4 linked regions of the Drosophila melanogaster genome follow. The protein of the gene in region 1 interacts with the protein of each later gene in a pairwise test. Each region holds a gene or a part of one and is shown on either strand. Other genes may lie near its edges. The genes, in order: CG34208, CG9825, CG13887 and CG1161.

Region 1 (6,661 bases):
TTGAAATATCCTGTACCATCAAATACTGTTAAGACCAGTCAAAGGTCCTTGGCAACAGCAGAGGTGGGCTTTCAGAGAACGCGTTTGATGAGCAACCGTTTCGAAAGCAACGGATTTGCAATTTATCAAACCTCTGCCCACAATCCGTATCCAATTAGTCCATATCCGGGAACAACTTGAAGATTTAGTGCCATTTTGCCAAAATTCAAACCGAGCGAAAATTACTTAAACACATTAAGGTTTCTAAACTGAGTGTCAAGTCAGGAACAAGAAACGAGGAGCGAGGAACAGAAAGTAGTAAGAGTTTTAGATGCGGGTCTGTGTAGCAAACGGTTAGGAGACTCCCTAGAATGACGTCTGATTTTTAATATGATCAAGAGATGAGAGAAATAATTAATGCATAAACTATGTTAAGACTTTTTTATTATCTTTTTTCCAATCGAAGGCAAGTAACAGCTTGACCTATTCGACATTGAAACCGATTCCGAAAACAATAAATTATTTTAACCAAACCGATCGTAATCTTTACAATGCATACTTAATAGACATACACACTTGCATACGTACTTTAAACAATAACATGCCTTTCAATAAAATTGAATATATTTTATCTGCGTTCAATAAAAGACTCAAGTTGACCGACATCCCCTTCCTCCTTTACGTAGGTGCTCAAATTCCGCTGGAAACAGAGTGCCAATTCGTTATCTTCCCGATCCCGTTTCAGTTCCTCTCTGACCTGCCGCCACATCCGTTCAAATCCACTATCGAACGGCATTCCCAGGAAGCGATTATGTCTGGAACGGAGTTCATTGCCGATCTGCTGCCACATTGCCTCGAATTCCCCGTCGTAGGGCATCCCTAGAAATTTACCCTCACATCCGGAGGATTCGAACATGAAGGAGTACTCAAACATGTTTCAGTCTAAAATATATTATAATTACAAAAATTACAAGCTTTTTTTGGAGCAACTAATTTGTAGGATTTAATCCTTTTTTTTTTGTTTTAATGATATGATATCATGTATGATTTGTATGATATTATATTAATATTAATATCTTATATCATAGTATTTTTGGTCCCAGCGTCGGTCTTCTTCCTGCAGCTTAGGAAAGCAAACTGAGTAGAGGATTCTCAAACGAAGTGCAGACCAAAAAAGAGGCCACAAAATAATGCTGAATGTACATAAGATCCATTGCGACAAAGAACATAAAGTAAACAAAAATCAAGCAGGGCATCAAATTTCCTGTGATTCTGTATAGGGTTTTTAATGGTATTTTTCGTATATACACAAGTCCAACCAAAATTAAATGGTTCACTCTAAGCTTTTTATACGCTTAAAAAAAATAGAATTTTGAAAGCTCAAGTATGGTCAGATCTTAAACGAAGATCCGTTAGTTTAACATTTTTTTTTCTTCAAGAGAACAAGTTGAGCGTGGGTAAGTTTTGGCTCCAAATTAATAGACCTCCATGGACTTCTCAAAGAGTTGCGACAGGTTTTCCTGCGTCTGCGCCCTGGGTGCTAGCTTAGTGATCCTTTCCTGGGGCAGGGTTCCCTCCACCAAGGCGGGTATATCGCTGCTGGAGAATCCCAGCTCTCGGAGGCCATTTTCTATGCCCGCGCGTTGCATAAAACCGCGTACAGTGTCCGCCAAAAGACGACCGGCGTCTGCTTTTTCGACACCTCGCACTTCTGCGCCCAGCAACTGGGCAGCCTCCAAATGCCGATCCGGACAAGCTGGAGCAGTGAACTCAAAGACCGCCGGAGCACTGATCACCACGGATAGGCCGTGTGGAATAAGAGCGTGATCCGCGGAGTAGCCCTTTGGCTTGTAATCCCTCACATTTCCAGAAATAGGATAGGAAAGGCCATGACACAGGTGCACTCCGGCATTACCAAATCCCACGCCAGCCATTGTGGAAGCCAGGTGCATCTGGGATCGGGCTTCTAGGTTATCGGGCTGGTAAATGGCGTTCACAAAGTTTTTCCTTATCGTCTCCAATGCGAATCGTGCCCACACATCCGACACTGGGTTCCTGCCCTGGTAGGTGGGTCTCAAGCTGGGATCACTGGGCGCCAAACCGCGTTCCCTGTAATCCACCGCCGTGAAACTCTCCAGGGCATGGCAGAACACATCAAAGCCAGCGAAAGCCATCACGCGTTGCGGCTGGGATAGGGTGTGCAGAGGATCAATCACAGCTAGAGTTAGATAGAACGATATTAGAATAAATTATTTAAAGAAGTTCAGTTTTTTACCCAAAGTAGGTTTGAGGAACTTGCTGGAAATCCCAGTTTTGGCATGCAACTTCTTGTAATCAAATATAGCTACTCCAGTGGTTTCGGAACCTGTTCCCGAAGTGGTGGGCATCGCAATCAGGGGCTTCAGTTTTACGGATATCTAAATGGAATTCAAGTGGTATTAAAGGTACTAAGTCTAAAAAGGAGACCTCACCTCCTTGCCTCTGCCAATTGGGCAGTTTACATAATCCAAAAACTCTGCATTTGCATCACTGCTAAAAAGATTAGCTGCCTTGGCTGTATCCATGGCAGATCCTCCTCCGATGGCCAGAAATGCATCGAACTCCTTGCCGCGCGCAAACTCCACGGCATGCCACATGCTCCCATCCGTGGGCTCCACCCGGGTTTCATCATAGACTTCGTAGTTGATGCCATTACGAGCCAGTGAATCCAAGGCCACTTTCACGGAGGGCAATTGCACGACATTTTTATCCGTGACCAAACAAACCTTCCGAGCTCCCAAGTTGCGAAGATCGGCTCCCACTTCGGCACTTACTCCCGGTCCAAATCGAACAGTCGAGGCTGACATCTGTTTATCAATACATTTGACCAAATTTGAATTAGAATTTGTTATATACCGAACAAAATTTAAGTTAAAAGTATTCACAAGATCTAAAATATAAATTCTATTGGGATGCTTAAGAATATAGAGATAGTATTATCTGGTCCAGGGTATGACCACCTGTCTAAAGATGAGAATCTACTATCTGGAGGTGCTCCAAAGTCCAAGGTTTTGCCACTTACCTCGAAGGCGTATTCCATGCGACCCGTTTGGGAGGCGGTTGGAGCTGCTGAGCCATAGTTATGCGAATGGGCGGGGCACTTGCAGCTATAAGACCATACTTTATTTAAATCACTTGAAATCAGTTATAAAACGCAATTTTTACTTACGAGTTGGCCACGATCGTGTTGATCAAACCTAAGACATTCTTCCGCGACATTCTGTATATAAATGAAATCAGCTGGACTGGTCTTTCGTTTGATAAGAACCCGCCGAATCGATAGCTGGCGCCAAAAGACAGCACTTCATAATCGATAGCTAACAATTTGAAATTCTCTGTCTTGCAGCTTTGAACTACAAGAAGACCCGAAAATGTGCGACTACCAGATGGAGTACTCCTTTATTTTTGAAGACAGCTCCTGCGAGGGCGATGCCTCGATGGCATCCTACGACAATGGATTCGAGTCCATGTGGCATCAAGTGCGCGAGGAGTTGCAAAGGGAGCGGGAGATGAATGAGCTCTGCCAGGTTTTCCAGCAAAACTTGAGCCTGAGTCCGCCGGTCATCGCGGATAGATGGAGATTCTGACTGGACCTCCCAAAAGCCAACTTATTGTGATATTTGTAAATTATAGTTTTAGCAGTTCGTTTGCCACATGAGTGGAACATCGTGAATGCACTTTTGATAAGTGCTCGGTTATTTTATATTGTAACTACCAGCCTTCAGAGGCGATCGTATGCATAGTTTCTTGAAGTCAATTTGTCCGTGTATTCAAATGTTTGCTTTCGTGAAAACTCGCATTGTTTTGTCACTCTACCAAGTAATCAATTTGTACCAATCAATCGCATATGGTTGTCCTAGATCTAAAAATGGCAATAATTTGCCTTCGGTATTGCACCTAATGTATTCAAGAACAAGTAGGGAAGCTCGAAATTTCTCAAATACTTACCCAAAAAATAGATAGAAATATATTTTCGATTCGCAATCGTTCAAAAACCCATTCGTTTTTAATTACGGGTCCCACAGTAAGATGTGACTGCGATTCAATTGTAATGGGAACAATTGTTCCCATTACAATGGAGCTAATTACCTAAATGTATGTCCGCCCATTTTTCGCGCTGGATTTACAACTCAATTTGCCGCGCTATCTGGCCGATCTGCGAACATAAACTACTGGCAATGGTAAACGATGTTGACGGCAGTTTCCCTCATTAGCATGCAGATCGTCGCCGATCTTCTGGGCGCCAGGCCATAAAACGTTTGATTCCAGGCGTATCGTTCAGCAGTTTGTGTTGAACTGGTAATAACTCGACATCGCGATCGCGAGATGAAGTGGCTTAGTTTGTTCCTGGTATTCGGCATCCTCGGACTCATCGGCAGTCTGGGCACTTTAGCCCTAGCGGAACCCAATCCGGAGCCCAAGGGTCGTCCGCACACAACGCGACGTCCTCGAAACGATAACGACAACGATCGACGCTAGCAATCCGAGCGGCTGGAGGAGATGGAAAAACCCACGAAATCTCCCCGAAGATGCACCGAACCACAAAGGACACAGGAGGCACAGCGACTCACGGTGAAGGTGAAATGTTTTGGAGTCGAGAAAATGCAATATGTTGAGGTGCTGCTCATCTAGCGAGTGGCATCTTCCCGTGCACAATAAAGACTCATTCGTTTACAACAGAGTTTTGATCATGGGTTTATTCGATAGTTTTCTTCGACATAGGTCTACAGTTAAATTGGTCAGCTTAATGATACCCTGACGCTCTCGGGGATTCTTCGATACTGATTGATTGGCGGATAAAGCAGGCTGACTGACTTTCTTTGGTTGTGCGAGGGTTTTTTTTGGGGAGTGCGTTTGTATTTACCATATATTTGATTCTGTTTCGGATTTTACCATTACCATGCGATATTGAACGTTGCTTAGGGCTTATCATAATTTACAAAGTGCCGCATCTTGCGGCTTATCAAATTTAATTCAATAGTTTCCGTTTCCATTTGCTTAGCTACGATAGTTTCGGTTACAAAATAATTTCAATTTATCTAAATTGCAATCGCATCTCCAGTGCCCAAATCGGCTTGTAATTCAGTGAGTATATTACCGTCACGCAATCTGCCTCTCACTTTTAAATCGGTTTAGAGCTATCTTTACAGTTACAATTACAATTAGAATTACATATATGTGATTGATTAGACTAATGCAGTTTGTTGGAGTTGGGGTGGAGTTTTTGATTCGATTTGAATTGATTCGAGTTGATTCGATCCTTACTTCTCTTGCCTGCGATTGGGGCTTAGTCTACACAATATAATTATGTCGTTATTTATGTTTAGCATATAGTTCGAATTTCTATCTGATTTGATCAAATGATTACTCGCTTATCTTGTATTACTTGACGCATATGTATCTGTAGCTGCTGAATGCTTGTATCTTGTAGGTGGGTCTGACACTGACTTGAATATAATTGAGTTTGCTTGTAGATTCTAAGCTCAAATGCAGCTGAAAGGGTAAATGGGTTATGGGGGGGTGAAAGGGATTTTCATGCGGGAGTACAGCTGAGTATCTTTGGTAGTGGTAGTTGTAATCCTATCTAGCTAGCTTTTCACTCTTATTCAGGGGACTCCGATGAGGCCGATATGCCGCCCAGACTGCAGGCCCCCACGCTGCCCGCACTCGTCGAAGCCCCAATATCGCTGATGCTCTTCACGCGCCGTCGACTCTGCTCGTAGAGCATTTGTGGGTCGGTGGACACCGCATCCAGTGCCCCACCAACTGGCGGAGCGCTCACACGATGACCAGGCGGCGGACCATGACTATAGATGCCCCCAGCCGAGGGAATCGGCGGTGGGGCCGTCGTAGGCGGCGGCAGGAAGTGATGGTAGTGCTGCTGCTGGAGATTGGTGTGCGGATTCGGATACTGGTGCCCTATGGTTGCGTATATTCCTCCGCCACCCTCGCTGCTGCTGTACGAAGGCGTTGGGGAGGTGGAGTTCCCAAAGGAGCTGCGGTCCCCGGTGCGATGTGGTTTGCTGTTAAACCGAAAGGCTTTAGACAGGGAGCTCTGCAAACGGAAATACAAATATTGAAATGTGCTCCTTGAGTGAATGAAATGCCAACTCACCTGAGATCCTTTCCATGCCGAAATCTGTTTAGTAAAATAAATGAAAAGAAATAAATGTTAATAGTTTTAATTTGCACAAGAACACTTGTTTCAAATCCTAAACTTTTGCCGACAACGGGAACACTTCGGAACTGTCATGAAACTTTTCCTGTTCTTAGGTGCCTTAGGAACTATAAATATTTTCCAAATCAGTAATTATATCCATGCTAAGGTTATCTAATACATGTCATATTTGCTATGTTAAAGGCATATTCATTATTTAATTGTGATGAGTAGATATTTGAGTTTCAATATTTAACATATCCTTACGAACTTATTCGTTTTAAGCTGACCAAAAGCTAACAACGATGTATTTTGGATAGCCAATGAATTTTCGCTTAAATATTGTAACATCCTTGAATGTCCTTTATCTCAACTCAGAATTTATCACATACTTGTTGGCACCTTGGAGTGTAAATTATAGTCAATACAGCCTGCAAAGGCAACCTATCATAAATTGAATTTTCAATTTGGATGAAAGCCTGTGAA
Region 2 (8,007 bases), 500 kb from region 1:
TCCCGTTCCCTGGATGGCGATTTGGACCTCGGCACCGTTTTTTGCTCTCATGGTGGCGCGTTGCTGCGAAACCTGGGGTCTGAGCACCCTCCAGGCCCAGATCCCAACGTATATGAACGGGGTTCTGGACATGGACATGAAAAGCAATGCATTCTTTTCGGCGTTACCATTTCTGGCCATGTGGATTATGTCGTATGTGTATTTGATAATCGCTGATGTTCTGCTCGCCGGAAACAGGCTGAGTTTAACGGCTCTCAGAAAGATCTTCAACTCGTTGGCCTTCTGGATTCCTTGTGCCACTTTGATTGGAATCGGATTTCTGGATCAGGAACAGAAGAACCTGGCCATTGCTCTGATGACCATCAGTGTCGGTGTCAACAGTGGAGCAACAATCGGAAGCTCCTTGAACACCATAGATCTATCCCCGAATCATGCGAGTATTCTTATGGGTATTGTGAACACGGCTGCGAATGTAGTGCCTATAGTAACCCCTCTGGCTGTTGGACTTATTGTTCATGAAGACGTAAGTTTGCACTGTTAATGTTTATAATAAAGTAGTCATACTATTTTTCCTTCAGAAAAACCGTGAAGAATGGCAGATAGTGTTTATAATTGCGGCAGTAATTTTCTTTATCGGAAACTGTGTGTTCCTGTATTATGGAACGGCTGTTTCACAGCCCTGGGATGCTGAAGACTACCTCACAGAAAAGGTACCAGACCTAGCTATAGCTCCAGCTATCCATGAAGCTGGTAAAGGCATTGATGGACCTTCTCAGAAGTCGATGATATTAAAGTTCCACTAGATCGATAGCACTTAAGTCTCCAGTGTACATAGAAACTATTTAAAACAATCAAATAAAAAAAAAATCACCTGACGTGGTATTAGATAAGGCAAATTCGGCTTATCAGCTAATTCAACTTGAATTTAAATTCATATTAAGTTCGCGGGCTCACTCACTCACCTTCCCACAGTTATTCCGATCGGTCGTTTTAAAGAAGTGAAGAAGTGTTTTGTTGACCAATTCAAAAATGACGGCCGAGACAAACAAAGGTGTGTAAAAGGAAATCCTTCGATTCGGATAAGAGTTTGTGAATGAAATGACACCCCACGAACTTGACACAGTTGAAAACCCCTCCATGGATCAGACCTTGCACTCCATCTGAAAATTTCGGGCTTTCCGCACGCGCACTCAACTCATCATAAATTACTTCAATAATGGCGCGATAACCGAGTCTCAAGAGCAATTCAGATTTATTTTCCCACCTGTACTATGTAGGCAGAAAGTAGCAGCTTTAATACCAGTTCGTTTTGTTATTGCAGGACCCGTTCTGGGAATGAGGCATGTCCAGGCGCTACTGATCTTCCTCAATATAACTACCGTATTCATAGGCCGCCTAAATGTGGGCGTGTCTGTGGTGGCAATGACCAATGCGGAAACCACGAACCCGAACTTTCCGGTAAGAATAGGGATCCTATAAAGAAAATACTACTTAGCTCACTAGATTCTCTACTAGGAATACGATTGGACGGAGGCAGAGAAGTCGTATATATTCTCCAGTTTCTTTTGGGGCTACATCTTGACCCAATTTATAGGTGGCTATCTCTGCAAGCGCTTTGGAGTCAAGAGTGTAATGTTTTGGGGTGTCTTTGTATCTGGTGTCTGCAGTGCATTGACCCCGCTCTTCATCGGTTTTGGCGGATGGCAGGCCTACTGCGGAATTCGCGTGGTTATGGGCTTGGCACAGGGACTAGTTTTTCCCTGTATTCATCACCATTTGGCCAAATGGTCACCTCCGGCGGAACGAAATCGGTTGGGAGCTCTTAGTCACACTGGGATGGAGTGCGGCAATGTAAGTGCCATGTTCTTGAGCGGAATGATAGCCAAAAGTGCCATTGGTTGGCCAGGAATATCATATGTCTCCGCAGGATTAGCCTTCGCCTGGTGTGCCATTTGGTTCGTTTTTGCCGCTGACAATGCAGTGGAATCTCGTTACATAACCCAGGAAGAACTCCACTATATCGAATCGTCTCTGAAGCACAATGAGGACTATCACAAGACCGTAATTCCCGTACCATGGATGGCGATTTGGACCTCGGCACCATTTCTTGCTCTTACGCTGACGCGTTGTTGCGCGACCTGGGGTCTGAGCACCCTCCAGGCCCAAATCCCAACTTATATGAACGGAGTTCTGGATATGGACATGAAAAGCAATGCATTCTTTTCGGCATTACCATTTCTGGCCATGTGGATTATGTCGTATGTGTACCTGATAATCGCCGATGTTCTGCTCGCCGGAAACAGGCTGAGTTTAACGGCCCTCCGGAAGACCTTCAACTCGTTGGCCTTCTGGATTCCTTGTGCCACTTTGATTGGAATCGGATTCCTGGATCAGGAGCAGAAGAACCTGGCAATTGCTTTGATGACCATCAGTGTCGGTGTCAACAGTGGAGCAACAATCGGAAGCTCCTTGAACACCATAGATCTATCCCCGAATCATGCGAGTATTCTAATGGGAATCTTGAATACGGCTGTTACTGTAGTGCCTATAGTAACCCCTTTGATTGTTGGAGTTATTGTTCATGAAGACGTAAGTTTGCACTGTTAGTGTTTATAAACAGGGCAGTGATAAATAAGTATAAATAAGAAGACTTTCTGTTGATTGTTTCAGGATAACCGTGCTGAGTGGCAGATAGTGTTCATAATTGCGGCAGTACTTTTTTTTGTCGGAAACTCGGTGTACCTATACTTTGGAACGGCTGTTTCACAACCCTGGGATGCTGAAGACTACCTCACAGTAAAGGTGCCAGAGCTAGCTAAAGTTCCAGCTATCCATGAAGCTGGTAAAGGTATTGATGACCTTCCACGAAGTCCTTGAATTGAAGTTCTATCGATAGCACTTAAGTCTTCAGTTAACATAGAAACTATTTAAAACAACAAAGCAATCAAAATAATTTAGAGTATTATTATTAAATTTAATAAGATTTAAGATCTACATCAGTACATTTCATTTGTTTATTAAACGTATAAGTAAAACGATTTGTTTGAATTAAAATGTTTGAGCGTTATTTGCTTATCAAAAGTCGTCAAATTTACCAAAGGTGCGGCCATAAATCAATCCAATAATGGTATGGCAGTAACTACTCTTGATATTACCAATTGATTTTGGAACGCCACACGACCAGGCAATGCTGTTCTAAACAACCTCGTTTAACAGTAGAAAAGGAACTGCAGGTAGGATATTTTCGTCAAGATATCTAAAATTAACTATTAAAGGTGCAAAACCTTGGCTTCTTTCTTGACTAAGTAACCTGAAGGCCGAAATGCCCACCTATTCGAAAAAGGGTTCTCGATATGGCCATGAAAAAGCAATGCATTCTTTTTGGCGCTAACATTTTAGGCCATGTTGCTTATGTGGCATCTATCTTTTACCGAATCGTGCCAGAATCCTTACTAGAATTGTAGAAATGGATGAAAATAATGATTTATTGATTGATTTACAATATTCTGACTAATGACATAATAACTAGTTTGTAAAGTACAACAATTTTTTAATGACGCTTTTTAATTCAATGGTTAAATTCGCCCGCTGTATGACCTTATCACCTGACGTGTCGTATCAGATAAGCAACATTTGGCTTATCGTCTAATTCAATTTGGATTTAAATCCACTCTATGTTCGTGGTCTCACTCACTTAACTTCCCACAGTGATTCCGATCGGTCGTTTAAAAGAAGTCAGGAGGTGTTTTGTTGACCAAATCAAAAATGACGGCCGAGACAAACAAAGGTGCGTGAAAGGAAATCCTTCGGTTCGGATAAGAGTTTGTGAATGAATTGACACCCAACGAACTTGACACAGTGGAAAACCCCTTCATGGCTCAGACCTTGCACTCCGTCTGATTTCTGGGCTTTTCGCACACGCATTGAGTGGTCATAAATTACTACAATAATGGCGCGATAACCGAGTCTCAAGAGCAATTCAGACTTATTTACCCAACTGTTTGTAGACAGGAAGTAACAGTGATAATACCAGTTCGTTTTGTTATTGCAGGACCCGTTCTGGGAATGAGGCATGTCCAGGCGCTACTGATCTTCCTCAATATAACTACCGTATTCATAGGCCGCCTAAATGTGGGCGTGTCTGTGGTGGCAATGACCAATGCGGAAACCACGAACCCGAACTTTCCGGTAAGAATAGGGATCCTATCAAGAAAATACCACTTAGCTTACTAGATTCTCTACTAGGAATACGATTGGACGGAGGCAGAGAAGTCGTACATTCTCTCCAGTTTCTTTTGGGGCTACATCCTAACGCAATTCCTTGGAGGTTATCTCTGCAAGCGCTTTGGAGTCAAGAGTGTAATGTTTTGGGGTGTCTTCGGATCTGGTGTCTGCAGTGCTTTGACGCCGCTGTTCATCGGATTTGGAGAATGGCAGGCCTACTGTGGAATTCGAGTTCTAATGGGATTGGCCCAGGGAGTGGTATTCCCCTGCATTCATCAGCACCTGGCTAAATGGTCACCGCCCGAGGAAAGAAATCGGTTGGGAGCTCTGAGTCACACTGGAATCGAGTGCGGCAATGTGAGTGCCATGTTCCTGAGCGGAATGATAGCCAAGAGCTCCCTGGGATGGCCCGGAATCTCATATGTCTCGGCTGGAGTGGCCTTCTTCTGGTGTACATTATGGTTCGTCTTCGCTGCCAACCATCCTACGGAATCTCGTTTCATAGGAGAGAACGAACTGATCTATATTGAGTCGTCTCTAAAGCACAATGAGTCATACCACGCTACCATTATACCCATTCCCTGGAAGGCAATTTGGACGTCGGCACCATTCCTGGCCCTGCTCATAGTACGATGCGCTGAGAACTGGGGACTGAGCACTCTGCAGGCCGAGATCCCATCCTATATGAACGGAGTCCTCGACATGGACATGAAGAGCAATGCGTTCTTCTCGGCACTCCCATTCTTGGCCATGTGGTGCATGTCGTATATTTACCTAGTCGTAGCCGATGTGCTCTTGGGCAAGAACTCGGTGTCCTTGACGATTTTGAGAAAGACCTACAACTCCATTGCCTTCTGGATTCCTGCTGCCACTTTGGTGGGCATTGGCTTTTTGGACAAGGAACAAAAGAACTTCGCGATTGCTCTGATGACCATCAGTGTGGGCGTGAATAGTGCTCAAACCATTGGCAGTGTTTTAAACACAATTGATCTATCGAAAAATCACGCTAGCATTCTAATGGGAATTGTGAATACAGCGGCGAATTTCGTGCCCATAGTCACTCCTTTAGTTGTTGGATGGATTGTTAAGGAAAATGTGAGTGCTTGCAAAAGTTGGTAGGAAGTAAAGATTTTTAATTGCTTATTGTATCCTTTCCTTTCAGTCTGATCGCTCCCAATGGCAGATCGTGTTCATCATTGCCTCCGTAATCTTCTTTGTGGGCAATTGCATTTACTTGGTGTTTGGCACGGCCGAAACTCAGCCCTGGGATGCCGAGGACTATCTGCAGACACAGAACCCGGAACTTGCCAATAGACCACCTATGCAGGCGTTATCCTTTCCAATTAACGAAAATTCCAAAGAGAAAATTAATAGTAAAAGCCATTAATTCTTAACCCATTTAACGCATTTATTTTTTAGACTAGTCTGGATAACCAAATTTACATTTTAGCATTTGGTTTTTATTTGTTCACTTTAGTGGTCTAAAAATCATAACTTGGTAGAGAGATAGCAAACGATTCTTTTATCTATAACTGACACTCAAATTGAGTTATTCTTGATATTTTGAAAATGCCATTGAGGGCGACATCACTAAATATTTTTAATTACAAGTCCGCAGTCTCAAGAGCTAGTCAGCTATTATTGTTTTGATTGCTCGAAAATATAGACATATTCTTGTGTTTAAAATTCCCTTAGTTACCGTCGCTAGTAGACTGAATTATAGAGCATTTAGTTCTGCAGTTCATTTTTAAGATGCCGTTTGCGAAGACCTAAAAATATTATCTTACGTACAACGATCTCGTCATTGCACTTCTCGCCATATGATTTGTGATAAAAAAAATTGGCAATGCCCACAGTATCACTAAATGGTACACACCTTTATGGTTTCTTTGGAACAAAAATTTAAGGCGCGACCTATAACTTTAGTAAGTGACTCATCGTTCGAAATGAAGGAAAACCCAGTTTCCAATTTCTTCCACCAAGATTTGTGAGAACCTTTCAAAGCTCTGTTATCCCTGAGCAGATAACTAAAGCTCTGCTGGTAATCTCAAATGGAGCCTACTTAGCTTTGGCTCATAACACACTCAAGCAAGGGGAATCACTCGAGATTGTAATGGCCAGGCGAGGAATTGGCTGAGATTAGAGTTTTCTTTAAATTCATAAAGTTCAATAAATTGACATTATAAACATTATAAATACTTTGGCCGTGTGGCTCGGTACAGTATCGATTAGTTGATTATTTATTTAACTGGTAGCATCGCTTATCAGTTGCGTTCCATTGTTTCGACCAGATTGCGGCCATAAAGAATACTATGCCAAAAAATAAATAAACTCATTCATTTATGGCGGCTCTTTCGGTTGCTGGTGCTGAGCACAGTTGTATTAAGCTTTCAGGGGATCGGATTTAATTTTTCTACGGCTTCAGGCCTGGCGAGCAAAAACTTTTGTTGATAATCGTGCCATAAATCTTTCGGGCAAATAAACACGTCTCTGGCCAAAGTTGAGTGTTGGGTGGGTGTGCTTATTTTCTAGCCACCACTTTGTGTAAATCCATCAATATTTGCCGATAATACGTAGAAACATATGCATATGCTTTCTCAATCCACCAGCGGATCGTACTACAATAGATCCGCTACGTCAGTCAGTCGGCTTCTGGAACGAGGAGTTGCGTCAAAGTGTCTCCGATCGCCGATCTTGTTTGTCGCTGAACCATCTCCCTGGGGACTCACCTGCGAGTCCGCGGGCCAATCAACTATGTGGGTGAATGATATCGCCGAGCGTGTTGGCCCAAGCTTTCAAAGCTTTCCGCTGTCGTATAAATGTCGGCAATACAATGGCGGCTGGGCTTAGAACCATTGCCCCAATCTAACAGTGCAGACCTCGGTAACTAAACCAAAAAGTGTTCCAAGTGGAGTTGCTTCCTGGACTTACTTGCCGATCATGACCCATAAACCTTGCAAGGGCCCTCGTCTGGGCGTGCGACATCTGCAGTCGTTCCTGCTCTTTCTCGGCCTGACCGTGATGCACATTGCCCGGCTGAATGTCAGTGTGGCCATTGTGGCCATGACTAACGCGGCCACCACGAATCCCAATTTTCCGGTGAGTTTTAAGTGATATTCCTTGCGGTTGGAAATAGCTGACGTGGCCGCTTTCCCTCGCAGGAGTTCGAATGGACGGAGAAACAAAAGTCGTACATACTCTCCAGTTTCTACTGGGGCTACATCCTGACCCTGTTTCCTGGCAGCTTCCTGTGTCGTCGCTACGGCGCCAAGGTGGTCCTCTTTGTGGCCAGTTGTGGCACTGCTGTGCTCAGTCTGATGACCCCGTGGTGCATCACCTGGGGTGGATGGCAGGTGTTTTGCGCCATCCGCATTCTGCAGGGCTTGTTCCAGGGCGTGATCTTTCCCTGCGTCACAGAGCATCTGGCTATGTGGTCGCCCCCAGAGGAGCGGAACCGCCTGGGCGCCTTCAGCTACACAGGCACGGATTGCGGCACTGTGTTGGCCATGTTCATAAGTGGCATGATTGCCAAGGGAGCAATGGGCTGGCCGGGCATATCCTATGTGTCTGGATCCCTCTGCGCCGCCTGGTGTTTCCTCTGGCTAATATTCGCCTCCAACAATGCCACTGAGTCCCGATTTGTTGGCGAGGCCGAGTGCAAGTACATCGAATCTTCGCTGGAGCACAATGAGGACTTCCACGGTCGTACCATACCAATTCCGTGGAGGGCGATCTGGACTTCTGTGCCCTTCCTGGCGCTGCTGGTGACCCGGTGCGCAGAAA
Region 3 (8,104 bases), on another chromosome or scaffold:
AAGCATTTTCCTTCAAGGTGATTACTACAAGGTCCGTAAAGGAACACCACATAACCAGCAGTAACTTTGTTTACTACGATTTTCTCATTAAAACTCTGCGTTTGCAACAAGGAGTAGTCGACATCAATGCCGTATTCCGCCTGGAGTCTAGGGATAGTCCCCTGAGAGTCGACATCGTGGCCAACAATGGACTCAAGTGGGTGAAGGTGATAGCCAGGAACTCGAAGTCCGTCGAGGACGCGGCCAGGGGATGTGTCAGCATCGGAGCCCGAAGTGTCATCGACCAGGCGGAGGATTATCTGGAGGCCAGCGAACTTAGTTTCTGCATGTTCCAGAGGCCGAAGGTAATGCCTAATAGTATGCTACCCTAGACAGCATTCATCATCTGATATACTGCCTTTTAGATAGTATTCTACTTCTCCAACAAAATCGAGGACTCCCTGCATGAAGAGCTAATGGAAATGGGCGTACAAACTGCTTCCCTGGACTCACCAGACACCGACTTGGATATGTACGCCACGACGTCGAACGAACTGAATCTAGATGTGACCACATTGCTGGCCTACGTTAGTGCGCTCACCAACGGATCCGCCAATTGGGTCTACAAGGAACCTCTGCTCACCGAACAGGCGGAAAGGGAAAGAGCCTCGCCGCTAAAACCGCTCCTCGAGAAAATCCTAGAGGGAAAAACCTTGGTCTGCTGCCAGTTAGCCTACGATGCCTTCCAGAGTATTTTGGATATTGTAGGCGGCGAGGGCGAACGGAAGCGAGCCGAGGAACTGATGAAACGGGTCACCGTTTATCCGGATGTGGAAACAATACCCGAAGAATTCTCCCACATACGTTTCACTGCCAACGTAAACGAGCGAAGTCTGAAAATCTTTAGTTTCGGCATGGCCAGGCAAATTTTCACTGTGACTTCGAATAAGGCCTTTGTGAGATCAGCTAAGATGCAGGTATGCATGAATGGAAAATGTGATTTTGTCCTGTCTTTAATGTCTGTGCTTTACAGGGTATCAATGTGCCTGTTTTTGTACACGCTTCAGTTGCACTTACCGAAGGTAAGCAGGCAACAGGAAGACCGCTTTAAAAACCAATAAGCGTTAAGGCTATTCAAATAAATTTTATGTGATTTTTTTTCAAAAACTGCTCTACACAAAGTTGTTATAATTATTAAATAAAGATCCTTCAAATTTGAATTCGATTGGTTTTTAAAAATTCGAAACGATACATACGACTCTTATCGATTGTTGTCATGACAGAGCTGCCACACCTCGCGCATAAAACATATGTAAACAAAAGTGAAATTTTGGAAACTGCGTTCTTGCAAAAAAATAGACGACATTTTGCTTGCATAAAACAGGCAATATTGCAATTGGGAATATAATTATTAAAATTTAGGTGCCTGGCAATTTCAACGTTACAAGAGCAATCATATAATTTCAAATCAGGACGGGAAAACAGTCAAAAACATGGACTGCGCACCACTGAACTTGGTAAGAACCCGAAGAAAACATCGAATTTACATGGTTTTAAATGGAATTACCTACCCAAATCAAAGGCTCATTTCCACGAGCGAAGGTCGGAGCGATTTATACGCAATCACCGCTATGAGGAGGCCATTAAAGCGCTGGAAACATCCCTAATCTACATGCAGGATGCCCAAAAACGGGTGGCTCTGCCCAAATCCAAGGAAGTTCTGGACACATTGACCCTCGATTTTCAGCGCAAACTGCGTCAAATTGAGATGCGAAAGACGCAGCATGGTCTGAACAAGCTGAAGGATTATGCTCCCTTGAAGGAAACCAGTCCCATGCTGCCCCTGCGACCAGAAGCCGGAGCAAGTGGAGGCGCAGGAGGATCCGCTCAGTCGGTGGCCAAGGCAATCGACAAAACAGTGCAGGACTTCGATGCCAAGTTCACCTCCTCCTTGGTGGCAAAGGCCTCTAGCACACTGGCCCATTCGGAGCCCCATATGGAGACGCTGAAGAAGAGCGATTCTGCCCAGGAGGAGCAGGAACACGATACTTGCGATCAGCGGCTGGCGGGCAGTGGAGACCTGGACCTGCCATCCTTGGCGCCCTTGGAGTTGCCCTCCTTCGATTACAGCCTGTTCACCAGCTCCTCGGCTCCTTCGTTGGCCAGCTATGCCGGCATGGCTGAGAGCTTCCAGAAATAGGCCTGGTTAAGATCCATTTGTAAAACTTCAACTAATTTGAAAGATCTCGTGGTAATGCAGTGCCCGCTGAGTGGTGATTAGGATTTAATTTTAGGCACGTTCTTCATTTCAACGTTTTGTGCAGTTCCCTTTGTGAAGTGTATTTGGGAATTCTCTAAATAAATTAAATTAGGTTAATTCACAATAATAATAATAATAATAATACTTTGTGTATTACAATCTAAGTCGTTTATTTGGCCATCAGACCCTTCAGCAGATCATCCATGTCGGTTTCGGTGTCGACATTCTTGAGCAGAAGCAGCACCTGTGCCTCCATCTCGCAGAGGATATCTGGTTTCTGGTAGGTAATGATCAGCGTGTTGAACTGGTGGTGGACAGAGAGGCTCTCCTGCGCGGGCTTGACCCCACAGCGGTCCAGTTCCGGGACCGGGATGACCTTGTAGTACTTCTTGTTCGAGGTGCGCACGACTATGGCACGCTTCTCGGGATCGGCGGTTACGCTGTATGTGTCCAGGGAGTAGGGCATGTTGCGGATGCGCCACTCAATGTTCTTCTTGGTGATCCGCTTGGTCAGCAGTGGCGCGGTGTTGCTCTCCCGCAGGGTGAAATCTCCGCCGGCCAGGGAGTCCGTTTCCTCGCCAGATCCTGGTGGCTTGTTGCCCGACCAGTTTAACTGACGCGGCTCATCGCCCAGCTCGATTTCCCACTCCGACTCGCCCATGATCTTGTTGCTCTTCGATTTCCAGGCCCGCCGCTGCACGATTCCCGTGTCCATGTTGTACTCCTCGGCCATTTGCCTGCCGTCCGGGAATTTGTAGAGCACCTTGCGGGCGCGGCCACTTATCATGGAGTTCTTCTCCGCCGCCTGCAGGTAGTTTAGCCAGTTCTGGTAGGACATCTCTGGGGATTGATGGGATTACCTAGGCACACGTCTCCGCCGGAGATTCGAATATAACAACTGAACGGGGCAGAAAATTTGATCGATGGCGCAAAGTTGAAAATTTGTTGAGAAGCACATTGCGATGGAAACCTGGCAACCCAGCTGCCAGCTTGTTTACATCGCAAGCCGGGTTACCAAGGCACTTTAAAGCATTACATACAATACCTTATGATCGATTTGTCTTGTAATATTTGGAGGTAATGGTTAATTTTAATGCAAAATACGTACTAATTCTTGCCATTTTTTTTACTTACTAATAAAATGATTTTGAAATTCGAATATTTTCCATGAATTCAGCTTTTTTCTGGCTACCCAATTTACAGTTGATTCCAGCGCGCGAGTTGGCAGCCCCGTGCGTACACAAAAAAACAGAGTTGACGTGGCCGGCGCAGTGACTACATAAAATATACGCATATTTCATCACGGCAGCGATTTAATTATTGCTATTTAAAGTAAGCAGCCAGTCACTCCGGCCGTAGTTTATAAATAGCCACTAGACCGTCCGTCCCGAATCCGTAGACTTAGCAGCTAATTTGGACGCATTTCTGCTTACAGGCGGCAGTCGAAAAAAGCGAAAATCCAAGAAGCGAAAATCGAACGAAAAAGGGAATTAATAAAACATTAAAAATGAGTTTGGTGTGGACTTTGATCGCCGGATTTCTCTATGCGGAAATCGCACTGGTCCTTCTGCTGGTGCTGCCGGTGCTCACTCCTTACCGCTGGAACCGGTTCTTCAAGTCCAAATTCCTATCGATGTTGGGACAACAGGCGCACATATATTTCCTGCTGATCATGGGAATTCTGGTCATTTTCCTCCTGGAGGCCATTCGCGAGATGCGCAAGTACTCCGGCTTGCAGCAGTCTAACGAGGTCCACTTGAACGTGGAGATGCAGCACAGCATGAAGCTGTTCCGTGCCCAGCGGAACTTCTACATCTCTGGATTCGCCATTTTCCTTGCCCTGGTCATCCGGCGACTGGTAAACTTGATCTGCACCCAGGCCAATCTCATGGCCCAGAGCGAGGCTTCCTTCAAGCAGGCACAGAGCGCCACTGCAGCCGCACGTTCCTTGCTGGAGAACAAGAACACCGAGAAGGCCAAGGAAGCCGGCGAGGATACCACTCTCATCGAGGTGAGTCCACGTCCCAAACCCCTGCATCCGATCCCCAGGAATGGCATGTCTAGAGAGCTAACACCTAAGACTTTGGAGTTCAATTGGCTACTACCAGCTGTAAAGATATGGCAATGCATATAGAAGGTGTGGTCAAAATATGGCGAGATAATGTCTTTAGCCGACTAAATCTATAAAATCTATACTTCATTCCACTTTCTGGTACATTTTCTCAATTGGTTTTGAATATAAGATACGAAAAGGCTTTAAATGTAGTCTATTAACGATATAGAACTTTAAATACCAGTATATATCATGATTAAAATCTTAAACGTAAACTTAAATCAGTTTGAAGACCGAGTGAATTTGTCATAGGCTTAGTGCTTTTGTTTTGACCGCAGCTAAACGTTTTGAAACCACACCCAAACACATATGTTGGGCCACGATAAACAGAAGCCACCACTCGAAAGTTTAAACCTCTTGTTAACTCTTTAAACAGCTGTCAAGACTGCGGAGACGTGTGCAAGGACTCACCGCCCGAGTGTCCTAAGTATCCCCACCTAGAGCACCCACCTTATATCCATTCCCAAACACCCAAAACGAACAAAAATCCAATCGAAACTCAAACGAAATCCGAATTTTGCAGCTCAACAAGCTGCGCGAGCGCGTCCAGGAGCTAACCTCCGACTTGAATCGCGAAAAGAAGGACAAGGAGGCGGTTAAGTCGCAGGCGGAGAGCATCAACCGCGAGTACGACCGACTCACCGAGGAGTACAGCAAGCTGCAGAAGAAGATAACCATCGGCGGAGGCGGAAACAAGGATGATTAAACTCACTGGAGCCAAGTCCAACATTTAAATAACGATAAGACTTATAAGCATGGCGGTGGGGCAGCGAAAGCAGGCACATTTAAAAGATTATAACGATTTCAAATCGATAGAAAGCACACACATCTTATTGTTAATCCTCATAGATACAACTACATATACCATTTGATAATGATAATGGGGTATATTGATAATGGTCCCTCAACTCAATGTTCGTTTCGTCCGAAGTTTTGTATTTAATTCGTATGTGTTAAGTTTTGTTTGCCACAGTAACACACCCAAAAAGCGTCGTGGCTATTAAAAGAACAACCAAAAAGTACCCATCCAGTTGTGATCGATTCGATGATTCATCTGTTGGCGCGGATAGTCCACATCATGTCTGATAGTACACGGCAATGACGTCAGACGTCGCAACCTGTTTGCATACTTGGAGCTTAGAAATCGGAGGCGTTACATTATCGGTGTGCGAAAAGGGCATCGAATATGTTTCCTTGATAATTACCCAGAAATGCTAATCAAATTCGCATATTTAGTGATCTATCGTGGTTTTGCAGTGCATACTTTAATCTTAACTTGAACAGAGATCATCCTACATAAATTTGCTGTTCAATAAACTGCATTAAAATGCTTACTCCCACCAGAAGCTTACAGAGAAGCTAGGAGCTTCAGATCTCACATAGTGCCACCATTTGGGTGGCATGTACAAACAGTCACCAGGTTGCAGGAGCAGCTGGTAGAACTTCACCTTGGCTACCAAGGGATATGTTTCAGGATCCAGTTGAGCAGCATCTATTCGCGCTGTATTGGCCAAAAACTCACTGTCGTGGGGATACAGATTGTCTGTGTCTGCAGGAGCAGCTAGGATGATCCTCTTCGAACCGAATACCTGGCACAGCAAGTTGTGCTTGGGATCGTAGTGCATGGGAGATACGGTTCCAGCTGGTCCCAGCCAGGCTTTGATGTCCACAGCTCCTGGGGTATCTTCGTTGCTGATGGTGCAGTAGTCGGGAATGGATATATCCTCTTTGAGGGCTGGTATCTGGGCGAAGAGCTCGTGCTGAGCGAGATACTCGATATTTTGGCCAGCCTTGCTTGGTTCCTTTCCGAATTGTCTGCTCAGGAAGTCGCGGATCTTCACCAGCTGCTGGGACCATTCATCGCTGGCATAGTTGGAACCTATTTCAATGGGCACCGTGCGATTCCCGGCCACTTGGAGAAGGTAATTGAGATCCAGCCATTTGTGCAGTGCAGGCCAATGCTGGATGGTGTTGAGCAGGAGTGTGGGTTGTCCTGCCTCAAAGCACTTTGTCTGGAACTCTTCTAGACTGGGAGCGTCCAGTTGGGGTATATCACAGTTGGAGGTTACTCGGGTTAATGGCTCTAGAGTTGGAAGTGGTGCGGAATTCAGTGCTACTGCTCCATCCTTGTCGAGATAATCCATTAGGGCGACTTTCAGTTCACTCCAATCCTCCATGCAACCCAAAAGTTGAGCCTCATCGAGGATCTCACTGCACGCATCCTTCTGGGCGGGACTAGTGCTCTCCAAGAGAAGGAAAAAAATCTAAAATGTATATTTGTAGTTTGTATGGCTTAGTTAGCATCTAAATCCCACCTTGAAGCAACAGGCTATGGCGTATATCTTCCTCGTGACCAAGGGAACCTGGCTGAAGTGCCCTGTGTGAATGCGTTCCCAGTTCCTGTCCACCAGCGCACCTACCAGATATCCGGTTTCCTCCGCCCCGGAATCTCCGCCAGACCTCAAGTTCGCCAGGTGATCCGCGGCTCTTTTGAGTATGTAGCGCGCCTCGACTTCACCACGGACCACATTTTCCAGATCCACCCAGCGGGGCAGCAGCTGCGTCAGCTCCAGGAACTCACTATCCATAGAATGTTAAACAACTATTATTTGTTTACCTTTTAGCTTACATTCAGCGTTGCCAGAGTTCATTTGTAAGCATTAAATATTTCGATTAATCGATGTTTTAAAATATATTTAAAAATTGATGAGTTGTTCAGTACTTCAAACATGTATTGCTTAAGGATGCCTTTAGTAAATTATAAATAGTAGCTCCGTGGGTCCTTCCATGGTGAAGATACATTTTGCACTGGCACGAAATGGAAAAACGATTTCCATGGGCGGAGTTATGACCGCCGTTTTGGACGCCGAATGGCATTGTGTGCCCCAAGTGCCACTAATTACGGGTTTTAGACTAAGCTGCAGCTTGTAAACAACAATCATGAGACAAGAACCCGGATAGTGGAATTGCTGACGGTCAGAGCTGAGGAGCATGTCGAGGACTTCGGATGACATCCGGAAGCACCTGAAAGTGCGGCGCCAGAAGCAGAGGGCCATTTTGGCCATGAGATGGCGCTGTGCCCAGGGAGGATTGGAGTTCGAGCAGCTGGACACCTTCTACGGAGCCATCAGGCCATGTAAGACCACTTTTCCAAACCACTTTCATATGTGTCTAAACATATTACAATGGACAATAGATCTGTGTGTGGCGCAGTTCTTCGGCATTATGCCTTTGTCGAATATCCGGAGTCGCGATCCCCAGGATGTGAAGTTCAAGGTAAGGAGCATTGGCCTGGCAGTCACCGGTCTCTTCCTTTTGCTCGGTGGCATGAAGACCTTGGTCGGTGCCAATATTCTCTTCACAGAGGGTCTGAATGCCAAGAATATCGGTGAGTTTTAGATGGTATGGTAGTGTGATCCCAACTGAAAGCTCAATAGTGGGTTTGGTTTTCCTTATCGTGGGCATGGTCAACTGGCTAAACTTCGTGGGCTTTGCTCGCTCCTGGTCGCACATAATGCTGCCCTGGAGTTCGGTGGACATTCTGATGCTCTTTCCGCCCTACAAACGTGGCAAGCGAAGCCTTCGGTCAAAGGTCAACGTCCTTGCTCTGAGTGTGGTCGTCCTGGCAGTAGGTGAGATTTCTGGGTTATCCTTTCAATGGTTTCCAGAAGAACTTTCTTTCAGGCGACCACATGCTGTACTACGCCTCTGGCTACTGCAGCTATAGCATGCACATCCTGCAGTGCCACACA
Region 4 (7,938 bases), on another chromosome or scaffold:
AATATACTTATATTACTATATGTATTTATAATTTTGTAGAAAAGAAAAAAGTTTTGTATCAATTAACATAGAACGTTTGTACGTTTGTTTATACTATTATCATATATTAGTCAGTGACTAAGTGTCTTGAAAGCTTCTAGTTAAACCTACTCTATTTTCGAAAATTAAAACATGTGGATAGCTTTCTAATCGTACTCCAAGTAACTTTGAGATATTTCGCCACGACGTAGGTCAGGGTGCGCCGGTTAGTATGCAGGGCGTTTTGCTTACGCTTTCCAGCCACTCGTGCGTATACACAACGTACTTTTCGTTTGGAATTGTGCGGCAGAGGGGCAGGCGTCACACTCGCAAACAAACAAACATCGCAACATTCAAACATTTTGTGTCAATCTGTCAGTCACTCAAGCAACGAGTCCTTTCCCACTTTTAAGCGCTTTAAACTTTGCCCGCTGTCGATTAAGACAAATCGATAAGGGAAAACGTTTCCCTTTTATATGTATAATATATATTATCGTAGGATTGCTAAAACACTTGGGCATTTATGCGTGCAGAGAAAGAGATTTGAGTTTTATTTTCAGTATTAAATGCCGAATAGTTTCGCAATTGGATTAGGAAATACTTGATTAGTTGGCTTATGAGCTTATTTCGCTATATCTATCCCGATCTATACAGTTTTCTACACTAAGTCTAATGAAAATTTTTAATAGTGTAGCTTCGCTCCAAAATATTCTCTTTATTATTGGTCACATAGGAAGCACAATACAAGGATACGATGAATACAAGGATGGGCCACCGCTTAACAATGGAATCCGGTTGTCGGGGAGGGAAAGTCCTGCGAGCAGGAACACATCCTTATACATATGTATGTATGGGTGTGCGTATGAGTGAGTTTGGCGTTAACACGTTAAGGGTAAATCAATAAACGCGCAGAACGGAAGTTATCAACACCTGTAAGGGATAATTGACGTGATATTAAATGGTATGTTGCCACAGCAGGTGGCAGCATTGCCGATTTCATTAAACACATAAGCCCACTATATTGCATTAAATTATGCGATAATTGATCAATTTTAAAGGATTATATATAATGTTAAGACGTTCATTTCTGTAGCAATATAAGCAAAATGAAGAAGACTTTTATACTAAGCCGTGGAAAAACATTTGGTTCACTATACAAAGTTTAACATGCTCAGATGGTAATCGACAACTAAAGTGTTTTATACTCTCCGATACTATGTTCTGGTAATATGACATCGTGGACAGCTATGTGCTATCCATATTCCATATACTATTTATGACAATTTATTGAAAGTCTATAATAATTGCTGTACAGAATTTCCAATCAGGAATAGTTGACACAAGATTCAAAGCTTGATACTTCCAGTATTTGCATCGTAAAGCATGAAATTACGGAGTTGAGGGTTATCTTCAGATGGTGGATCTTGCTAAGATTTCCTGCTGGGGACAACATCGCTCATCAGACTAGTAGAACGAGTATCCTTGTTTCCATTTCTTATTTGTGCAAAATGGTTACAAGGACAACCCGATTATGAGAATCTATAAACGACTGTGCGCTGGGTTAGATCAGCTAACACTTTGACCTTACTGGGTCCACAATCAGTTGGGATTACGGGGATGCGAAGGAGGCGGAGGCAGCGGAGGATGAGGACATGGCCCGGAGGATGAGCAGACAAAGCGTTGACAATGGCCCAAACAAAAGAAACACAAAACAGACGAGCAGATAATGGACGTGACGATATCGGGGCAGCAAGGGAGCGGAAACCGCGAGCAATGGCAAAATGTATATACATAGCTTGTATGGTCGGAATAAGCCCCATTGTTTTATGCATGCAAACAAAAACATCCGAAGGAATGGGGAGCACCTTTCGCGAAATGCGAGTGACGCCCTACGGCTGCATCTGCAAGGATACTTCCCGCTTTAGCTTCAAGCTAAAGGGCTGTCAATCCGGCATGGGATACCTTCTGTTGGAGTTCAAAGATATCGACATTTTCCGCCAAATGCAATCAGTCTTAATCATCAATGAGTAGTAGAAAAGTGACACGAACACGCTATTAGCACCTGGTAACCTACGCATGTCTTTCAGCACTACATGGAATAGATACATCTGTATTAACTGCAGTAATGCCAACAGAAAGAGTACTATTGCCTCAAAATACCCGTTTAAAATATAAAAGGTTACATAAAAATAAAAAAGCATTTGTGTGCCTGCAACTGACTAAGTAGACAATCAATCAAAGTTCTAGAAAAATTTAGAAAAGTTAGATTGCAACTGAGGTTTCACTACCTTAAAAAGGGCTCTATAGACGCCCCCATTTGTTGCAATGCATTTAAGCTAAGTGGTTCTTACGACTGCCTTTATGCAAGGCACTTTCTAGATAGAATACATAATACATACATAGAATACATAACTTTCGATGAAAGCAATCTGAAAGTTTCGAAGTACCCTGAGTTTAAATAATTTTAATTTGATGGTTTGCTTTTGGGGTCTTCAATAAAAATTCAACTAAGTTATAAATTACAGAACTAATAGTAGTATGAAACTGCAGCAGTCGAGGTCCTTAGGGAGCACTACAGCTCCGAGTGGGCGTACTCGTCGTGCGTTGAGCTCTTCTCCTTGGGCACGATAAAGAGGCCCTCCGCCGTGGTCCAGCGCGTTCCGTGCTGCGGCTTGTGGACGCCAACGATTTCCATTTGGCCGGAGATGGGTCTGCCATAGGAGCGGCCGGACATGCCCAGGTACATGCCGGTGTCGATGTGGCGCAGCCTAACGTGGGCACTGCGCATCCAGTTCTCGTTGGAGCAGACCACCTCCCAGTGGTCGCCGGTGTCGCCGAGTCCATCCGTTCCGTACGCGGACACCTCCTGCTCGCCTGAGAGCGGCGACGAAAAGTGGTGCGAGTGCAGGTTCTTCTTGGTGGACAGGTGCTCCAGTCGCACGGTGGATCCGCAGGCGATGGGCTCGCCCCTTTCACAAAGCTCGCCGGTCTGCGCCTTGATCACCCAGTGGCTGTTCACGTCCTCCTTCTGCTCCACGCCCGTCACCGACTGCTGCCCGGAACCAGATCCGTACTTGACGTCGTGGGAGTGCAGGCGGAAGGCGTAGTCCGAGTTGAGCAGCTTCAGGATGGAGCCGCAGGTGACCACGTTGGATTCGGTGGCTGTGTTCAGCAGGGTCAAGATAGAATATAAGATAAGCATTAACTATGGCCACGGAAGGTTCAGAAAGAGGGGCGGCCAATCAGAGAAGACCACATAGACGCGACTTTGTTTCAGGTCGCCACTTACCGGCTCCCCTGGAAATGCTGCCTACCAGCGCCAGTCCTGTAAGAAGTAGTATGTGCTGCATCGTGTCCTGTTCTAGTTATCGTATCCTAGTCCGTGGACCTAAGTCAGTCAATCTGTACCGGCAATTACGGTTGAAATCAGCGTTGCACACGCAAACAATTGCTATTTTTGACGGTGCTGGTGTGACCAGGCTGCGGTAAAATCCAAATTATGGACTCACCGAAAAAAATAAACATAATACTATAACAAACTCCATATTGCTGTAACTTATTCCATTAACGGAAAATAGCTTAATGTATATAATAAATGTTGAATAAAGGAAAAATATAATTAGTCTTTTCAGAGAGCAGATTACGAATTTGACGTCACAGATTTATTGATACGCCTAGAAACTTATTTCTTGATTGTTTTAGAATTAAATGAACGTTATATCGTGAAGGAAATAATTAGTTATTAATAATTAGCCTAAAAACTAATTGCACCAAAAGGAACTAGTTCGATGAGCGACAATTTGTTGGTATTTTCTGTGCACCAGACAAGTACGGTCACTCTGCGAAATTGCAAGGGAATTTTCTCCAATAAAAGGCAAGAAAACTGAGGAAAATTGAAATTAAAGAAAAATTAATGGCACACAAGCGCCTGTTCGTCTACGCGGTGCTACTGGTGATATGTTATTTGGTTGGCGTGACATGGGTATGATGACTGGCCACATCCCGTGACTGCCCCACTAATCCGCTTTCATTTCCCCCTCAAACAATCAACAAAGGCTGAGACTGCGGCGCAGACATTCCCAGCGATCGGCACCAACAGCAACAACAACAGCAATGCTCAACCTGCTCCTGTGCCTGCACCTGCAGCTCCAGCGGCTGCAGCTCCACTAGCCAAGCAAGTTTCAGCTCCCACTGCCGCCCCTCCGGCCAAGGTCATCGGCCAGCCTGTGCTCGCTGCTCCAGGCAAAAATTCTTCCAATTCCAGCAGCACAACTGAGTGGTAAGTGGCACTGCACTGGCAGAAATTGCCGCATCTGGAAACTTAAAGTCTAGTCCATTTGAGCAGTTTTAAAGCTGCAATCCCTTTCGTCCCACTGGATTCTACTACTTTAAATTCAATTTACGTTGTTTGCGTAGGCTTCAAAGAATCATAGTTCATGTATTGCACAAATGTATTCACTTTTCAGCTACTAAATGTATAAGGCATCTTGGTATCAATGAGCTTAATTTGTGATTCTGTTAGGTTGGAGTTCTTAACAACCTGCTACACGTTACCATTTCAGCGTCTGTGCCGGTGCCCTGCTGCCCCGTTTGGATGCCAATGGCAAGGAGCTGCCCATATGCGCCGAGTGCAAGTGCTCCCATGTGGCGAGAAATACGACGCTGATAAAGGTGAGTCAATTCGAGTGCTCAAAAGCCGTCCGTACTTAACCAGCTCTCTCCCCCATCCAGGTCGTGGTCATTATTGTGATTTGGATCATCTCCATTTTAGTAATATACATGCTCTTCCTGATGTGCCTGGACCCGTTGCTGAACAAGCGAGTGAAGGCGAACTACCAGGAGCACACCAACGAAGATGTACATAACAAGCTTTCTAGATACAAGGGCATTCAGTATAGCCTCCTAGTTACAGCCCAAGGCGAAGATGATGAAGATGACGATGTTGATGCCGAAGCGGCTCAACTAGTTGGCAATAAAGAAGCACCACTCTTTTGAATAGATTTTAATTTCCACAACCACCTTTGTTTCATTTTGCGTTATAGATTTTGTTGACTTTCTAACCCACACCGTCACTTCATTAAGACAGTAACTAACACGGCCAGATCTTGGATCACCTCGACTAATTCCACATTTTTCCACCCTTTTCTAACCAGGATGAACCAACGCCGCCCCTGCCAGCCGTCAACAACCAGGAGCTCAGTGCCAGAGCCAATGTCCTCAATCGTGTGGGCCACCAGCAGGACAAGTGGAAGCGGCAGGTGCGCGAGCAGAGACGCCACATCTACGACAGGCATACCATGCTAAACTAACAAGGGGTTCGGTTTGCAGCTGGCGGAGATTAGGAGGCGCATGGGCGACTTAAGACACGTATTCCAAGCAGTTATCCTTTGCGAAATTCCCCTTTGGATCAAATTGATTATCTGTATATTTAGCCAGATTTTATGTTAATTAAAATAAACCAAAATATGTTTGTCAGGAGTGTTTGCATATTAATTAATAAGTTGAATGCCGGGAGGAATAACCAACAAATCCACTAAAATAAAACTTTTAATGATAATTGATGGTTATAATTTGGGAAAATAAGGAACGTAAGACCGTAATGGTGAGTCCAAGTTAGATTTGGAAACTCCCTTGGGCTTCTTAGTTTGACGCCTACTTTTTGATTCCATCAGTAGAGATTAACGAAAGAATAACTCGAAGATAGTTTCTATCACACAATAACCATAACTTTAAACGTATTATTTTCAGCCACATTTATTTTTAATAAATCATGTAACCACATATCCTTAGACAAGTGTTTTTTTTTAATGCAAAACCGCCGAGCTAGACCTAAACTAAGTTCATTCAGAATCGGAGGCTCTAGTATCCCTTTATGGTTTCGGCGAATGTCCAGTTTTCGTTAACTTGGAAGGGCCCCTCCACGCCGCATCCGTTGACGCTGCACACGCCCACAGTGTATTGGGAAATATTACGAGTATCGCGGTAGTAAAGCACCTCCATGCATGTGCGGATCTAGAATATAAGAAAATGGTAGGGTAGTTAAATAATGAAGAGTCCCCCCATCAGAGTTCGAAATTCCTTACCAGTTCGGAAGCTTCTACGGCGGTAAAGTCCCTGTCCTTGGGCTTCTTCTCACGGACCAGCGGAACGGCCAAATGGCGGGCAAAACCAGTGGCCACCACGTAGTCCTCGTAGGATCGTCCACGGAGATCCACGTTGGCCAGGTACGGAGTCCCCTCGTTGTCCACGCCGCCGACAACCACGTCAATGTAGAGGGGGTTCATCCGCGAACGACGGTTGTAGAGCACACGGGTCATCCAACTGGCCAAGGACTTGGGCTTCATCTCGATGTTGTCGTCGCAGCACTGGTCCTCGATCATCTTCTGGTCGATGTTGCGCTTGATGGACTGGATGTCAGCGAAGTCGCCGCTCCCGCCGAGCAGGATGTTCTTGTTGACCTTAAAGACGCGCTCAATGTTTTGGTAGCGGGCCATGGATCCGTAAGACACCAGGGTGTCGGCGGCCAGCATCACTCCTGAATCATAGCGAATGCCAAGCACGGAAGTGCCCGTGGTGCTGGAAGCACTGCGGAATAGTAAAAGGAGTGTAAACAAGTGGTACATCTGCATATAAACATATCCGCAGTTCCTACGTGCTGTGCTTGGTTCCATAGGGTCCCATTGTGGTCAGCTCCCGCGGTAGCTGCTGGACCGGCGTCTGTCCGCCCGTGAAGTTGTAGAACTCGCCGGGAGCGGGTCCGTTCTGCCACATGGGCTGCGCTAGGCTGTTGTAGTTGTTCAACATGCTAATTTATTCGGAGACTGGAATAACGCGAGACTTTGAAATGTTTGTCGCTGCCGGAGAATGACGGGCACAAATAAAATCAAGAGTCAGCGCAGTGTGAACAGACTTTAGGCGGGCGGCAATACCAGTATCGGCAACCGGTAGCTAAAAATACCAGACATACCAAAGATGAATCCACTATTAGCTTGGTCACACCGTTTTACATGTGTTAAATTAAATTAATTTGAAGTTTAATTGTGAACTTTTTAACATTTTATTAGATGTTGATGTTAAAAGTAATGTAAAACAGTTAACACCACGCTGCCTATACTGAATTTGTTTTTTTACTTTTGTCTTTATAATCCTCGTTGATAATACAAATCAAGGAGAAGAAAGATAAGAAATTAAAGAACTTTTCACTCAATTAGGATTAAGACTCATGTATACCCGTTGCTTCTACGGTATTTACTACTCCTTGAAACTAAATATATGTTTAGTTAATATATAATGACCATTTGCTTTACTTCATTTTAAGCCGTTCAATGGTCATTAAAGTATAAGAATCGAGAGCAATAAATGTAAATGACGTTTGGAAATTATCCTGGTCAATCTACAAATCCAATATCTCCCTTCTCTCCCTTCGAACACGATTCTCCATAGCTTTTTAAGCGGAATAAGGTTCTTTTGCTAAAACTTCTGCTTTTATTCATATTGGTGGGAAAAACGCACATGTTCCGGATTGTTGTTTTTGGGAACCCAACGAAGTTTTTTATCATAACATTTGATCATATAAATTAATAATAAAGAATTATAAATTTGAAGACATATAAATACATTTTTATTGCCAGTATACCAGTACACAATTTGTAAATATATAGGTATGTGCATAATGCTTCCGAGGGGAATGTTTAGGTTGCTGCCGCATCTTTCAGATGCCATAATACAGTCGATAATATCAGTTGCTTTATTGAGCTATGCTAAAAACAATGACGGGGAGACCCGCTCTTTAACACGATACATATACGAATAAGGATACCCTACGCAAAACTAAGAGCTACATGTCACGGCCAACGATTGATGCTAATTCTATGGGGTTAAAGCTTCTAGTCCTTGCAGCAGCAGTAAACATTGTCGCTA

The links.
Region 2: the proteins of CG34208 (region 1) and CG9825 interact in a two-hybrid assay, tested with the Drosophila melanogaster proteins (one large-scale study listed by BioGRID).
Region 3: the proteins of CG34208 (region 1) and CG13887 interact in a two-hybrid assay, tested with the Drosophila melanogaster proteins (one large-scale study listed by BioGRID).
Region 4: the proteins of CG34208 (region 1) and CG1161 interact in a two-hybrid assay, tested with the Drosophila melanogaster proteins (one large-scale study listed by BioGRID).

Annotation. Positions count from the first base shown.
Region 1 is NT_033778.4:22,328,808-22,335,468, forward strand, and holds CG34208 (uncharacterized protein), read left to right. Parts: upstream 1-4,318; 5' UTR 4,319-4,344; coding exon 4,345-4,497; 3' UTR 4,498-4,698; downstream 4,699-6,661. Other genes in the region: CG34207 (uncharacterized protein), read right to left, coding at 608-913; T3dh (type III alcohol dehydrogenase), read right to left, coding at 1,455-2,197, 2,255-2,396, 2,451-2,825, 3,041-3,125, 3,188-3,237; pgc (polar granule component), read left to right, coding at 3,390-3,605; Liprin-gamma, read right to left, coding at 5,621-6,073, 6,134-6,157.
Region 2 is NT_033778.4:22,833,671-22,841,677, forward strand, and holds CG9825 (uncharacterized protein), read left to right. Parts: upstream 1-3,690; 5' UTR 3,691-3,765; coding exon 3,766-3,787; intron 3,788-4,051; coding exon 4,052-4,188; intron 4,189-4,245; coding exon 4,246-5,319; intron 5,320-5,386; coding exon 5,387-5,611; 3' UTR 5,612-5,621; downstream 5,622-8,007. Other genes in the region: CG30265 (uncharacterized protein), read left to right, coding at 1-523, 579-803; CG12490 (uncharacterized protein), read left to right, coding at 1,030-1,051, 1,322-1,458, 1,516-2,589, 2,671-2,877; CG9826 (uncharacterized protein), read left to right, coding at 7,165-7,323, 7,386-8,007.
Region 3 is NT_037436.4:834,375-842,478, forward strand, and holds CG13887 (uncharacterized protein), read left to right. Parts: upstream 1-3,486; 5' UTR 3,487-3,746; coding exon 3,747-4,250; intron 4,251-4,728; coding exon of another isoform or gene 4,729-4,779; exon of another isoform or gene 4,780-4,875; coding exon 4,876-5,058; 3' UTR 5,059-5,557; downstream 5,558-8,104. Other genes in the region: CG42553 (uncharacterized protein), read left to right, coding at 18-344, 405-956, 1,013-1,090; CG42554 (uncharacterized protein), read left to right, coding at 1,473-1,496, 1,562-2,179; CG13901 (uncharacterized protein), read right to left, coding at 2,409-3,077; JMJD5 (jumonji domain containing 5), read right to left, coding at 5,684-6,616, 6,668-6,940; Gr61a (gustatory receptor 61a), read left to right, coding at 7,344-7,488, 7,549-7,740, 7,790-7,984, 8,037-8,104.
Region 4 is NT_033777.3:5,351,254-5,359,191, forward strand, and holds CG1161 (uncharacterized protein), read left to right. Parts: upstream 1-3,838; 5' UTR 3,839-3,931; coding exon 3,932-4,000; intron 4,001-4,073; coding exon 4,074-4,297; intron 4,298-4,580; coding exon 4,581-4,689; intron 4,690-4,749; coding exon 4,750-4,875; coding exon of another isoform or gene 4,876-5,013; exon of another isoform or gene 5,014-5,171; coding exon 5,172-5,327; 3' UTR 5,328-5,495; downstream 5,496-7,938. Other genes in the region: CG11999 (uncharacterized protein), read right to left, coding at 2,591-3,180, 3,308-3,368; Prosbeta7 (proteasome beta7 subunit), read right to left, coding at 5,878-6,030, 6,102-6,603, 6,671-6,822; Cerk (ceramide kinase), read right to left, coding at 7,905-7,938.